Linked DNA regions of Drosophila melanogaster. The protein of the gene in region 1 interacts with the protein of each later gene in a pairwise test. Each region holds a gene or a part of one and is shown on either strand. Other genes may lie near its edges. The genes, in order: CG10208 and CG7564.

Evidence for each region.
Region 2: the proteins of CG10208 (region 1) and CG7564 interact in a two-hybrid assay, tested with the Drosophila melanogaster proteins (one large-scale study listed by BioGRID).

Annotation. Positions count from the first base shown.
Region 1 is NT_033777.3:23,772,498-23,776,013, forward strand, and holds CG10208 (uncharacterized protein), read right to left. Parts: upstream 1,631-3,516; 5' UTR 1,536-1,630; coding exon 1,389-1,535; intron 1,323-1,388; coding exon 639-1,322; 3' UTR 501-638; downstream 1-500. Other genes in the region: tst (twister), read right to left, coding at 1-265; Nup98-96 (nucleoporin 98-96kD), read right to left, coding at 2,012-2,493, 2,558-2,967, 3,025-3,516.
Region 2 is NT_037436.4:17,512,620-17,517,988, reverse strand, and holds the start of CG7564 (uncharacterized protein), read right to left. Parts: upstream 3,692-5,369; 5' UTR 3,522-3,691; coding exon 2,259-3,521; 3' UTR 1-2,258. Other genes in the region: U4-U6-60K (U4-U6 small nuclear riboprotein factor 60K), read left to right, coding at 4,208-5,369. UniProt on the Drosophila melanogaster protein: May bind to RNA via its Arg/Ser-rich domain.

The DNA.
Region 1 (3,516 bases):
CCGGCTCCCGCTGCATGGACATCGAGTTGTTGGCATTGGCGCCCACGGCCTCCAAGTCCAATTCCACGAACTCAAGTATGTGACCACTCTGGTCGCGGCGAGGAGCCAACTTAGTGCTTCCCGGGCAACGGGGCGCATGCAACAGGCGCATCGGATCGAATTTGCGGGGCAAAACATCCGGCAGGGGATTGTGGAGGGACAGCTCCGGTCGCAGGATATAGTTGCGCAGCCGTTCGAGGTTATCCTCGCCCCTAATCTCATTCATTTTAATAGTTTATTCCTGGCGAAAATAACTTTGTTTAGCATTTGCCAAAATACAAGGAAAAAATCAACAAGAGTCGGCAGATAATTTGGATGGACTGGTCACCCTAAAAATCGAGAAACAATCGCGTAACGAATTGCATCCCGTGCAGTGTGCAAAGATATTTTAATTTTTTTAATTAAAAATAATTTTAACGAATTTATTCCAAAATTTATATTAAGTAAAACAAAAACTCAATAATTATTGCAGTAATATATTTGTATTGATAATTCGTCATCAATACGGAAGATGATCTTGCACATCTCTATGGCACTGTTTACATAAATGGCACGCTGTTAGAACCAGATTTCCGCACACGGAATGAAAATGGTTCTGTTTACTTGCGACGGAACACTTCGACCTTGAGGGGGTGGCACTTGTCGTCCGGCACATCGGCGCCCACTGCGATGGAGACATCGCCCTGTGGACAGGCGCTCAGAGCCACCAGAAGATTCATGTCGGCCACAAACTCAATGAAATCCCCCTTGCGCGCTGGACTTGCCTTGCAGAAATACTGATGCGTGTCCCGTGTAAATCCGGTGCACATAAAGATGTTCCACACGTCGTGTACATCCTGCTCGGTCAGCCCGCGCTCCTCCACCACCGCCTTGACTAGGGAACTGTGGCAACTGCCCACCCGATCCTTGCCCGTGATTAGCTTGTAGGTGTAGTCGTCGCACCGTGTTCCAATTACGTCGTGCAGAGCACCGCCATCCTCATCGATGCCATAGGCGGCAAGGGAATCAAACACAAAGGTGGCCATGGGACGCAGGTGGGGCAGGCAGCTCCACAGACGATCGTAAACGCGCAGATGCGACGAGTGCAGCTGGCGCGTCTTGCCCGAGTAGAAGCGCTCGGCGGTGTTCTCCAGATTCCAAAAGTTCATGTCGCCCACCTGAGAACCTTCGTGGACAGTGACGCGGCACAAATCACCCTCTTGCATTGTCCAGGTGCGTGCCTCCCGTTTGGGCACAATCAGTGTCTCCACAAGATCGCCAGTCAGGGCACGATAACGTTTATTCTGTAGTCTCCGAGTCGGATTAGATTATTTTATCATTGTATTATTGCTATTGTTCGCGTTACTTACATCATACTCCTCCTTCGAAACGATCGAAGCTGCGGGCTTGTCATAGCAGATGACTGGCGGTTCCTTTTCAAAGGTTCGGGGCTTGGCACCGCGCCCACACCAGGAGGCGGGGGCGGCGGAGGTTTCAGTGGGAACAACAGCAGCCATGGCCAGTGAAACGTTTTTCGCTCGTGCAGCAGGTAAGAAGCTAATCAGAGAGTAAATATGTTGTGGTCTAACTAGCGATCGAATGACTACTGATCTCGCTCCACAACTGGACTAAACAGGTAGGTCCCAACAAAGCTTTCGATAGGCACAGCGCAGTTCTATCGGATTTGAAATGATTCCCAGCCAGCGAACGTTGTTAGAAACATTTTTTTTTTTTACTTTCTTATACTACTAAGTTTATGAAATTTATGAAAATCAATTAAACAAATCAACAAAAAACTATTATTCTTCTGGTCTTTTCCGACGAAACGTTTTTTAAATATTAAGCAATCATACATAAATGATGCCGTACTCAAACCTATGCTACAGCTGACTTTTTTTTCTTTTGCGAGGGGGATGCTAATCAATTGATTATAACTAAGTTAATTTGACCCTAGACTAAACATTGTATCTTCGAGCTTTGTTTGTTTCGGCACCTATATCTCCATCATGGTGGGTTGCTGCCGCTCGCTAAATGGTGGCTCGTTTTGGATTTTGTCTAGTAGCTCCTCCAGCCAGATGCGCAGCTCCTTTGAGGCGAACTCCTGCGGCAGTGGCAGCCGCTCCAGGGCCACCTTAAGCACCGTGGAAGACTCCATCTCGGGACAGACAATGCACATGCCGTGCACCAAGCAGCTGAGGCTCTGCGAGATTTCACTCTGGCACAGGCGGTGCTTGGAGGTAGGGCACGGGAGCAGACTGATGCGGGAGCAGAGTTCGCTTAGTTGTGGTTTTAAGTTCTCCCAGCGCGCATTGATGTCAGCGATGTTGGTCACACTGCGGATCTGTTTGAACTTGGCACTGATGTCGATAAAGTCCAGGAAGATCTGGCCCTGGTTGGCCCAGTTGGGCACTCGGATGCTGCTGCCCTCTGTATCCTCGAATTGAATGAGCAGGCTATGCAGGTATTTCATTTTACCTGCAAGTTTGCAATGACAATTGTTAGTAATCCACCGAAATAATTCTTATCATAAGGAACCAACCGTTTATGATGGCATCAGGAGCAATGTGTTGGAAGATGACATCGTGCGCCGTAGCAAAATGTTTTGCCTTTAGCAGATATTTGGCTTGAAGGTGATGCTTTCCTGACGCTCCCGCCTTTACCGCCTTCGCATAGTCCACCCACGACATCGGAATACCAAGCTCTTCGACGATAAAGCGCTCTTCCGCATATAGAGCCACCTTGGCGGAAACGCTGACATTCCTCTGTAGCATTTGCTGAACTGCACGTTCCCTCTGGGTCTGCTGCTTAATATGCAAAAGAACAAAGATACCCCACTGCCAGAGGCCTTCGTTCTCCAACTGGCTAGCGAAATCCACCGAAAGACGAGCCTCCGTTAAGGGCGAACAGTGACGGTAGCCAAGAGCTCGCAGAGTTTGCAAGAGCAGCCAGCTAAAATGATTTGATATGATTTATTTTGCACTGTACCAAAAAATTCTTTTAGCTCACCTCAAACGAAAGTCCATGGCATCGGCGGTATGCGTTATAGGATTGAGAGTTTCTTCCAGGGAATGCATACGTTTAGAGTGTAACTGGAGCAAGTGGTAGCGCAAATCGTAGACGGGCTTCTTGGTGTCAGTAGGTGCGTCCCTGTAGCTGGGCTTTGGGGGCTCCGCATAGCACTCTTCCGCTTGGAAGGCGTCGTTATAAGCATTGAGTGCATCGGTGATAGACGATGTTGGGGCTGTGAAATACCATAGCTGCAGGGCCAGTGCTGTCAGCCAGTTTTTATTCTCGAGTAAGTTGATGGCCCCATGTGAAGACTGCATCATTGGCGCTCCGGCGGCCAGCATGTACATCTTAAGGCGCTCCAGATCGATATACTTATCCGACTTGCTCTGCTGCCAGGCAAAGAGCTGCTCCTCCATTAATAGCCGGAAGACAGCTCCGGAACTTAATTGGGACAGCACAAGAGCCAGATTAGCATCATCGTAGCTGAAG
Region 2 (5,369 bases), on another chromosome or scaffold:
ATAGGTTAGAGGTAGCATATGCTCGAGCAAGAAAACTTCTTGAAGCACACAAAGAAAAAAATAAAGAAAATTATGACTTAAAAGTAAAAGACATAGAATTAGAAGTAGGAGATAAAGTTTTACTAAGAAATGAGGTAGGTCATAAATTAGACTTTAAATATACGGGGCCCTATAAGATAGAAAGCATAGGAGATAATAACAATATTACGCTACTTACTAATAAAAACAAAAAACAAATAGTTCATAAAGATAGATTAAAGAAATTTCATTCATGATTGAATTTAAACTTATATTTTCCTTAATCATTTATACAAATTTTCCATACACTACGTATATTTTTATCTTTGCATTATAAAATCAACTATTGTTGTTCAAACAAAAACACAAACAAAATAAAAATAAAAATAAAATAATTTGCATTTAATAATCAAAATAACTTCACTAGGTTACGTTATTTTTCAAAAGGAGGGAGATGTAGTATGTGCCTATGCAATATTAAGAACAATTAAATAAAATAGCATATTAACTTATGGCAGCACTTTGTTGCTATGTTTATGTTTATGTTTATGCACGCAGTTAGGCCAGGGCAGATGTAACATGATCACCCACTCGAAGGCAAAAAGTATAAGTGCATGGTCAGCATTCACACGCCGACCAAATACATATTACATACGTACATACATATCTCGCTCTCCCGATAAGCCTAGATATATAAGATATACATAAGAACGCCGCTCCGCTGCTGGCGTACCCGGCAGCGCAGCTACGCGGATTAGCCTAAGTCAAAATATATAAAAAACTGTAAAATCAGAGAGACTCTGTAGACGTTGAGCTGACAGAACCATTTCTGCCTACTCTAAAATCAAAAGAAGAAATTGAATAAATATATGTCAGCCCGACGGCTGCCTTCAACTTAAAACGGACTTGTGTTCTTAATTGGAGTTCATCATTACAGTGGTTCAAGTACCATTTGGCAAGATAAACAGAGATTTAGTAAGAAACGGATTTTAATTCAATTGCCTCTAAACAGCTACGAGATTAAAATTTATTTTGGTTTGTGGTGATTGTATTTTTTATTATTTATTTTCAAGAGAGAGAGAAAGGAGGAGGAGAAATACGTACGTTGGGATCTGGATCGCCGAGAACCCTAGAGAGCCTGGCTTGCTTATGGGGCACCATTATAGTCGTTATATGTATACGTACCACAGTCGTGATCTTCTAACATTAATACGTACCCAGAACCGAATAAATAAACGACACTCTCATTCGACGATTCAAAAGGAAACGTCGTCGGCCGGTATGGATACGTACCCAAGCTATATTATCTGGATTATCTATGTAATACGCATATCTGCCAAAACAACTAACATTGGTCTGGTATAATGTATATAGTCACCTCGCCATACTCAATACGTACCGAAGCTGTGCGAGAGTTTAAGCGGCTGCGAAAGTGTGGAACGGAACTTCAAGTAGAGAACGCTTTGGGGTTACAAATCAAATCAAATCATATCATATCAAATGAAATCAAATCAGAGCAGTGATGGAGTGTGTCAGAGTTAAATATGGTGGAGGCTTACCCCAAAGCGGGACGACAGCGATGCACAACACACGTTGACTTCGACTGGGTGAACGTGATCGTTAGCTGAGAAGAGTACATGGTCGAATGTGGTCAGGTTTGGTTGGGTTTCAGTCAATGTTACCAACTTGTAGCTAGCTATACAACACACAAAATATCATATATTAAACGTTTCTCCTGCTCTGAATCCTTATAAATTAGTTATCTTTAACTTGACTGCCGCTGTGTCCTAACCGAATTACAATGAACTGAACTTTAATTGACAACACTGCCGATTCGTTGGGATTTCTATTTTCTGTTTGGGTTTCTGTCTCTACGTGCCAAGTACACTGGACTGGACGGGGACTATATAATTTCAATCGCATTATATCGAGTATATCGTTTCTCTTAAAGTTTTTATTGAGGCTGGGGTCTTGGACTGCGTTCGGTTTACTTTGGGGTAGTAACAAAAATTTGTCATTAGAGGTTGGAACGCAAGATCAAAAATAGAAATCAATTAAATTATTAAAAATGTACAAAGGTAGTTGTATCTTCATATTGGAGCGTCGAAAGTGTGGCTCTAGGTTGCTTTATTGGTTACGCTAAGAATATTCGGTTCCTGTTGTTTTCAGTAGTTCAATTTGTGGTGGCATTATAGTTCATGTGATTAATGCTACGTACGTGCGCTGGGCGGGATTCTAGCCTAGCGGCGGTAGTTGCGCTCACGGGAGTAGGATCGTTTGCGCTGGCCATTTCCGCCGCCACCACCATCCCTGAAGTGGTTAAAGTTCCGCCGTTCGCGTGGCGAGCGTTCCCTGGACCTTGAGCGGCGTCTGTCGTCACGGTGATGGCCACCGCCTCCTCCACCGCCGCCTCTGTCACCAAAGCGTCCTCTGTCGTTGCGTCCATGTCGGTCCCGATCCCGCCTGCCATCGCGTTCCCGTTCGCGATGATCCCTGCCGTGGTTGTCCCTGTCATCTCGCCGTCCTCCACGATCTGGTGCCCTTTCGGCTCGCTCCGGACCATCTGCCGCTTCCTTGGGTCGCTCACTCCCCTTCTCCTCAGGACCGCGTCCGTTGTTGGGGCGTTCGCGGTCCCCATCCCGGTTGCGCTGTCGTTCTCTGGAGCGGGAACGATGTACGCGAGAGCGGCGGTCCAGTTCACGACCACCTACAAAGTAGCGATTGCGTCCGCGTCCCTCGTCCTCGCGGTCCGTCATCTTACCCGTCCGCTTGAGCTCCGCCTTCCGCGGCGCCGCCGTCTTCTCCAGTTCGATCAGCTTTTCTCTGATAGTGAGGAATCCGAGATGTAACTTACCACCAAAGTGGTCCGCCAGACGTATGTCATTGTCGTGAATCCCGAGGTAGGCGGAGCATACCTCGCAGACGCGCAACTTTTGCTGCTGGTAGGTGGATGCGGGCATAGATGTGCGGTACTCGTGCTCGGCCTTGATCTTCTTAGCACGCAGCTCCTCGATCTCCTTCATCAGCTCCATGCTGTCCTCCACTTCGCCGGCCTCGCCCAGGGCCTCGGCCTTGGCCAACTTCTTGCCAATCTCCTCGGCGAGGCCATGGACAGCATTGGCCTTCTCAGCCACCTCGGCGGTCAGCTCTTCCTGGGTCTCTTTCAACCTTTGCTTGGCGGAGTCGGTGCGTCGATCGCAGTCGGCAATAAAGGCCTGCAGGTGTTCCATGGCCTCAATGTCGTAGTAGTAGTCGCGCGTCTTGGCGGCACTTTCGTAATCTGCGCGGAAAGCCAGGTCATGCACTTTGGGACACTCACCGAGATCCATGCGCGTGGACGCCAGGATGTCGTGCGGACAGCAGTCGAGCAGAAAGGACTTGCAGACCCTGGGGTCCGAGAATTTCAGTTGGCGCTCGTCGCCATTCCGTGTGGTACCCATAAGCTGGTCCAGCATTGCTCGCATCTGATCGGTGGCCGACATTTTGTTGCTCGGCGCGCTCATATCCTTCTGGCCAGGAGCGCGTGAAAAATGCTGCAGCGGTGGCAGTGACAGCTATCTCACTGGCTTTGTGACCAATAGCGTGCGACGCGTGTGGAAATTCTCAATTTTCACTCACTTTTAATCACCTAAGAAAATTCTGTGCGTGCGTGCGTGAGGATGTTCTAAAATGGGGTAGTGCTGAAAAACAGTGCTGTGAAGCACGAGTAGGCGATATATCGGTGAAAAGTCACGGTTTCTGGGAGTAACGGCTTTTGTTCAGATCCAAGTATATAGATTATTGTTGATTAAATGATTAAATAAAAAACAAAGGCACATCATTTAATTTCCAAGAACAAATGTAGTTCTCTCTAATAACGGTATATCGCGATCTTAATATAAAATTTTATTAAACACGTGGAATAAAGTTTCAGTTTTAAATAGTTATTGTTTTAAATATAATTTAGAGTTTCAAAAACCGTTCATTTAACAATAAACAACAAACAATATCGATCTAAAAACTATTGCTTATTCGCTGCATACCGCTCTAAACATCGGTGATGGCATCACTAAACCACCCCTCTCGGCGTTGCTCAACACTAGGCAGCAAAACGTTTTCTTTACGGCAATATTTTTTGTTGTTTCTTCGTTGTTTCGGCGAAATTTTATTTTAAAATTAATTATTTTGCACTTGTTTGCTGGCCGCAACGATGTCCGATGACGACGATATACAGTACATTAAGCGGCAGCGAACGCTGCACTATGGATCGCTCGAGGAATCGGAACGCAAGCGGCAAAATGCCGCGGCGTCTGGGGCAGCAGCAACAACAACATCGGGAACGACGGCATCGTCTGGGGCAGGAACAACAACAACTGGAACAGGCGGGCAACTGGAAGACATCGATTCCGATGAGGATTACGAGGAGTCCACGAAAAAGACAAGCAACGCCAAGCAGGCCGGAGCACCACCACCCACAGCCGCTACTCTGGCCAACAAAATTGACGATGACTACTTCGATCTAGAGATGGAAATGGAGCGCGACAAGGTGGCGCTCCTTGAGGAATTTGAGCGGAAAAAGCGAGCACGACAGATAAATGTGTCCACAGACGACACGGAGATCAAGAGCAATCTGCGCCAGCTAAACGAACCCATTTGCTATTTTGGAGAAGGACCGGCGGAGCGAAGAAGACGTCTTAAGGAACTCTTGGCTGGATTGGGCGAGAACGCCATCAACAAGAGGCAGTATGAGGATGAGGAGCGCAAGCAGCAACAGCGGGAGCAGGATCAGGCCACCTGGTACCACGAGGGACCCGATAGTTTGCGTATCGCTCGACTCTGGCTGGCGGATTATTCCCTGCCGCGCGCCAAGGATCGCTTGGTACGAGCACGTGAGGCCCTTGAAGTGCCCAGCGCAGCACGTGCCGGCCGAATGGTGGAGATGCAGAAGAAGCTCCAGTCGCTGGCTCCACTGTGCTCCCAGGTGGGTGACACACGGCCCGTGAGTAGTGCTGCCTTCAGTGAAGACTCCTCACTCCTTCTGACCTCCTCATGGTCGGGTCTCTGCAAGCTGTGGAGCGTGCCCGATTGCGAGCTGAAGCAGACGCTGCGTGGACATGCCAGCTATGTGGGCGGAGTGGCTCTGCGGCCGGGAGTTAAGGCAGACGAGGAGAACGTGGTGGCCATGGCTTCCGGTGGCCACGATGGCGCCGTCAAGCTGTGGGGCTTCAACAACGAAGAGTCGATTGCCGACATCACCGGCCACATGCCGCATCGCGTCTCTAAGGTAGCCTTCCATCCTTCCGGCCGCTTCTTGGCCACCGCCTGCTACGACTCTAGCTGGCGGCTGTGGGATCTGGAGCAAAAGACAGAGG